Linked DNA regions of Kluyveromyces lactis. The protein of the gene in region 1 interacts with the protein of each later gene in a biochemical or structural test. Links are inferred from orthologs where the notes say so. Each region holds a gene or a part of one and is shown on either strand. Other genes may lie near its edges. The genes, in order: OPY2 and STE50.

The links.
Region 2: the proteins of OPY2 (region 1) and STE50 form a complex in vitro, tested with the Saccharomyces cerevisiae proteins (3 studies listed by BioGRID, with this or other methods). The link is inferred for Kluyveromyces lactis from reciprocal best matches to the Saccharomyces cerevisiae genes OPY2 and STE50.

What each region holds. Positions count from the first base shown.
Region 1 is NC_006038.1:796,231-799,566, forward strand, and holds OPY2 (Opy2p), read left to right. Parts: upstream 1-1,537; coding exon 1,538-2,779; downstream 2,780-3,336. Other genes in the region: KLLA0_B09108g (uncharacterized protein), read right to left, coding at 1-101.
Region 2 is NC_006039.1:104,248-107,345, reverse strand, and holds STE50 (Ste50p), read right to left. Parts: upstream 1,535-3,098; coding exon 647-1,534; downstream 1-646. Other genes in the region: RRP7 (Rrp7p), read left to right, coding at 1-441; EMI1 (Emi1p), read right to left, coding at 1,929-2,189; MXR2 (peptide-methionine (R)-S-oxide reductase), read left to right, coding at 2,392-2,991.

The DNA.
Region 1 (3,336 bases):
CAGGATTCTACAGATTCGGTCAAGTCCAAAGCGGCTTTTCTAACCACTTCTTTATCGAATGGTAATTGACCTTCTTTCAATGGTGTACTATCAATTTTCATAGTTTATTTGTCCTTGAGGTATTTGCTCGGTTGATTGGTTGAGCCGTCCGACGTTTTTACTTGCTTAAGATCAACTGATTCATCTTTCAGTTAAACTTTGGAATTTTTTATTTTTCTGTGCTTAACGTGGAACAGAATGGCTCATATTAAAGAATGCAAGCGAATACGGCACATAAAACATCTAACTAGCGGGATTTAGTCTCTTATAAGTTATTAATCTACGGTTCAAGATTGAATCCAGGAAGATGATACCCTTTATACTTATATAGTATCACAAAAACATGAATTAGCTCAAGATATCAATTGATTTCTTCGTTTAAATTAGAATGACAGAAAGTACTTTAATGTCCCGCAGCCGCGATCAGGTACAGATATGTATTGGGACTGTATCGTGAACCCGTTGACTATTTCTGTGTTAACTCTGTGTACGCTTGTAACCTTTTAAGTTGAAGGGGAGGGGAGGCACAAGTGACAGATAATCTGAGTTGCATAACGTATTACCCGGTTGCACCGAGTTACTTTCAAACAAAACTGAAAAGTTTATACACACGTGACACAGAATTCAGGAATCCAAGCTCGAGAATTTGAAAACATTCAGGATCTGATCCGCTCACTCTTTTCTTTTGGAAAATCGCCAAAAGGAAAAGGAAAAGGAAAGACGACTGGCTAGCTTAGAACGGGAAGTACCAAGAGCCATGTATTCAGCCAGAACGTGCAATGAATATGATAGCTAGCTGGATTTTCCAGTGAACGGTATGTGCTAATTGCAATGAAGGTGGTATTGGGTAAGTGAGAGGCCTTTACAAATGAGGAATTTCACGTACTACGGAAGCGGTGAAGTATTTTTCTTGGGCAATGTAAAACAACGTTCAAAGAATTTAGAATTCCGCACGTTGAAACGCTGACGCGATCCAAAAATATAATAGTTTAAAAAGAATCTGAATGGGGTTGTTTCTTGCCTCAGAGGCCTGTGTATTCTATTCCAAAAAAAAAAAATCAGTCGTTTTATAAATTCTGGAGTTGGCCCAATTACAGGCATACATTACAATATAGAATAAAGAGCAGTTTCAATAAATCCATTAGTCAATCAGTTAAAAACTTTTGGTTCACTTTCAGTCTTCTCTTCGAGTTTTGTATTTTCGGTTTTTTTTTTTGGTTCTTCCATAGACAGCGAAAAATCAAAGATTCCATACAGATATCATACTGAACTACTTCCAAAATCTGTTGTATCTGACAAGGAACCACAAGGTCTTTCCACCATCCACCCTTACCGCTAGCTCTTTCTCTATTGTCAAGATAAACAGGGCCATTCCCGGTTTAATATTGTCTGTTGACTTTATATTCATTCTGCTCATCGCGTTCTTTCAGCAGCAGAGCTATTCACCATAGAAGTGATACTGAAATATAGTTTTGGCGATCTAGTACCGGCTTGAAAAATGTCGGAAAGCGTATCCAGTACTGTAAGCAGCAGTGTGTCAAGCACAGCTTCAAGTTCTAGCACTAGTACTGCAAGCTCCGGAACTTCGTTGCAAGATGGTTGTGTCACTTGTGATAACAATGTAACGTGCCCGGAATGTGATGATGATGAGTACTGTGTCACAACATCATTAACGTGCACACAATGCCCAAGAACCTATTGTCAGAAGAAGGCATCTTCAAGCAGTAGTAGTGCATCATCATCATCGTCTGCGGCTGCTATTTCTAGCGGAGCGTCTTCTTCGTCGTCCTCTTCCAGCAATAAGGTCGGACCTATTGTTGGTGGTGTCGTCGGTGGTGTCGCATTCGTAGTCATAGTCGTGGTGTTGGGCTTCTTGTATTACAGATATTATAAAAGAAAACGGTCTGCATTGCCCCAGGATCCCGAATATATGGAAAAAGGTACGAGTCTTGATCCAAACGGATCATCACCGCTTCATCCAGGCATGCTTCGTGTTGGCTCTTCGTCATCACGCGTCAGAGAAAGGAACAAGAGAAATAGAAGTAGCGCTGCCACCGTTCAGACCAGTACCGCATCAAATATCATCCCTGTAGCATATATCCCAGGTGTCACCACGAATCTAACGAAGAAGAATTTGAGGAAAGGCCAAGGAAGAGGTTCAAGAAGATTTTACCAGGATTCAGATCGAAAGTCACATATTACATTGGGGTCCAGTATTCTTGGCGGTGATGAAGATGACGACGACGAGCTCCAACAGAACTTACAAGATTTGAACGAGGAAGAAAGCGGTTCATTTGCAGGGAATAATAATAATGGTGCGGGTGCCACGAATAATATGACTACTGCAATCCGAGCTAGACCGAAATTGGTTCAAATCGATGAAACTGCTGAGGAAGATGAAGATGAAAATGCGAATCATGGAGTAGATCAAGAAGCTGAAGAAGACATCGAAACAGAGGCTAACGAAACGGGCAATACCGATAATCCATCACATTTCAGAGAGACGAATGTTCAAGACAACTCAATTGGTCATGCAGGACACGGCAATGAATCTCAACAGCAACAGGAAGAAGAACAAGGACAAGGGCAACAAGGAGATATACGACACTATAGAAATAGTATGGACTCCTCCAATTCGGACTCACGTGATCCGTTCCATACCACCGTGCATTCATCATCTGACTCAAACAGCGAGGGATCATTCATCTTGGACGTGGAAATGGCAAGTAATCACCATTAAACATGACTACCACTTTCCCTTCCCCACTAATCTTTGGTAACACACCAGTTGTACAATTTTAGATACAGTATGTAATAAGACCTGTTATATCGGGCTAATTCTTGTCAGGAGCACCTGCGTCCTTCGGTATATATGCGAGCCTTTTCCCCCAACAAGCCCCGCAATATACCATAAATCAACGATGCTCTATAAGTTTCCAAATAGAATGTAGGATCTACTGAACCCTGCATGTATATGTCACTCGATCATGTCACAATCTGACTACTTAAAAGAACGTCTCTTAATACGCAATTTTCACTGCCAACATGATTTCCAAACGATATTTGCCAACGAACCAAGAATTATCGGTCCAACTTCGAAAATACTACCTATCCACAGTGTTTTTATATATCTAAGCTATGCTACCCTGGGCTACCCTAGGCTACCCTACCTATATGCTTCCCGTCCGATCTTCGATTAACTCTTAAATCACAATTGCTCACCCAAACATCACATCAGCTTATGCCAAGGGTACAGGCCCTCCACAGTAACCGGAATAACTTACGTCGAACCAAAAA
Region 2 (3,098 bases), on another chromosome or scaffold:
AAGCAACAACAGATACTGTGGGAATTTCAATCCCCATCAATCGAGACATTCACAGCATTCTACCGTCCATTACCGTTAAAATATTTGAAAACGGATATACATGAACATATGGCTCTTTTCGAACAAAGAGAACAGCAAGCTCAAGAAGAAGTACAATCATCTATTGTTGATGAAGATGGTTTCACATTAGTAGTAGGAAAGAATACAAAATCATTAAACAGCATAAGGAAAAAGATATTCAACAGAAATCCATTATTAAAGCATGAGAAACCTAAGAAGATGCCTAATATGGTTGACAAGAAGGCAAAGAAGGACTTCTATAGATTCCAAGTCCGTGAAAGAAAGAAGCAGGAAATTAATGAGTTGCTAGCCAAATTCAAGCAAGATCAAGAAAAGATAAAGGAGATGAAGTCCAAAAGAAGGTTCAACCCGTACACATAATTATTTGAGAAAACTTTCCTGATAAGGTGCTCTATTTGTTATTTACTATAGTTGAGAATGTGTCTTTGTACAACATACGTAACTCTTATAGAAAGAGATAATTAATCTATCAATACAATTATTCGTTCATGAAAGCTCTAAAATGAAAGTTTATGGTTGCTTGCCAAGTGTTTTTTCCAGTTGATGAAGGAGGAGATAACAAACATTATAGCCTACCTCCCGGTGTTGCTGCCATTTCTCCCACTTCCTCAAAGTCACCTTTTTGTCTTAACATAATTGCAGGATGCAGGCCTTGTTGTTTTAAAGACTTGAAGATCTGTACTGGTTTTTCATCGAGATCAAGAACTCGTTCTTGATCTCCATAGCATATCACTAAAACATGCTGTCTCCAATCCGTTTCATTCAAATTGTGCCTCTTCATCGCATTTCTTAAAACCTTTTCACATGAATCCTCCTTTGAGGCACGTAATTGTTTCATAGGTTCTGAACTTGGAGCTGATGATACTCCAGCTCCGCCTGGAGTATTCGCCGATCCGGGTGTGGTGGCAATATGTGACGATGAAACATTTCTGGTGCTTGAAGATTGTGGTGGCAGCCCTGGATTGGAATTCGATCTGTATTTGGGTGATGATGGCGTGTGTGAAGAATGGTGTGGAGCTCTATCGAAGTAATCTTGCGAAGAAGGTTGATGTTGAAGTTGTTGAGAAGACTGAGAGGAACCTGAACCAGATCCACTGTTCCTCTTCACGATTTCCAACAAATCCAATCTGAGTTGCGCATAATTAGATTGGAATTCTTGTAACTTTTCATTTAACGTCTGGTGTAAGCCTTTCATAGTCAACACTAATTCTTGTTCCGGTGCTTGTTCTTCCGTGTCAACAAATTTGTTTATGCATGTCTTAAGCCTCACGGCACTAATGCTATCAGGACATAACTCCTTGCAATCGGCAAGTGTGATTTCAGATAACGTAGATCCAGTTATCTTGTTCTCTCGTATTCTATCTAGGATGAATGTATCTCCGTCCGTTAATCCAAGTTCTGCTTTGACTTTCTTGCAAACCTCCTCAGTTGACCATTCATTTGTACCGCTCATTATTTGTTTTTGTTTCTATGCCTGTTCTTAAGAGATGTAAAAACACAATTGAATCACTGGTTAGCCACTGATCAATATGCTTCTGTTGGCTCAATGATATGCTCCACAGACTGAGCTGTTCCCCGGATCTCCTTTCATCAACTTTCTGGTATCACTTGGTTTTATTCAAATAATCGATTAAGTTTAAATATAGATTTTCCCATATTGTCGGAAATCATAAAGAAATGACAAGGAACCCTGCGAATATTCTGACATAAGATTCCTGGGGAACGGGGTAATCCTGTTACTACATTCGCGCTAGAAGTATTTCGATGCAATCGTAACTTTGATTCATTTATTTACAGGACATACGTGTGGAAAATATACAACTATCTATCATTCCAACGGCCATGGTTTATACTCTTTCTTTCCAAATGTCATCGGAGGTACCTTTCCTTTCTTGGTTCTTCTGCCACTGCTCTTTGTGCCATTCCTGTACCTTCACGGGATCTTTACTATGGATCACACAAAACTTAAATTTCTCGAATTCTTTCAGACATTCGTTCATGTGGCCATGTCTGTAGTAATTTCTAAACTGACCTCCTAAACTGAAACATCCTGTTAACTGATCAAATGCATCAGTGCAAGACATTGTTGTTGGATAATTAGATGACATAGTGTTGAATATCGTTTACAGTCTATGATATTTTCTATTTGGTAAGTAGCTGTGGTAATGGTCAAAACTGGGCGGACTGGTTTGCTGCTTCCGTAATCAACCTCCTTCTTTCGTTTTGTAGATTGCTCTTTATTGACAAAGATGTTTAAGCTGTAAATTATAGAATTTTGGATTTTTTCAACTAGCTTTCTGCAAGAAGCCGATGAGCCATGCTATCGTAAAGAGAAAACAACTGGAAACTCGCATTTGTAATCACCATCGGATCTATTGTTCAGCTTTCATTATTTTGTTGATAGGTATAATTCTTAAAGTTTTACCACTCCATAATTGTTTCACACTTTTGATGCTCTCAAGAAGTTGTTCAAGGATTTTATCTTTAAACTTATCAAAGCAATTTTACAGAACAATGAATAGCACCGGTAAATGGAATCCGAGTTTGACTTCAGAACAGCTAAGAGTACTACGTGATAAGGGTACGGAGAGACCAAACACAGGAAATTACTTGCACAACAAACAAACAGGGATTTACTCATGTGCAAATTGCGATTTGCCTATTTATAAGAGTGAGACGAAGTTCGACTCAGGCTGCGGATGGCCTGCGTTTTATGATGCTATACCGGGATCTTTAACTTTTACTCGCGATGAATCGTTTGGGATGGTTCGTATAGAAATATGCTGCAGTAGATGCGGTGGTCATATGGGGCATGTGTTCGAAGGGGAGGGATGGCAGAAAATCTTGAATTTGCCAACTGACCAAAGACATTGTGTCAACAGTTGCAGTTTGAACTTCAAGGAAGGTTAGTGCTCACCAGATTAGGCAAATAGTTGTAGGTTTGCAATTATTTAGCTCACTTAGTTATATTAGGTGTACAATATTACACAATTAAAACAGATGGCTCTACGGTTTTT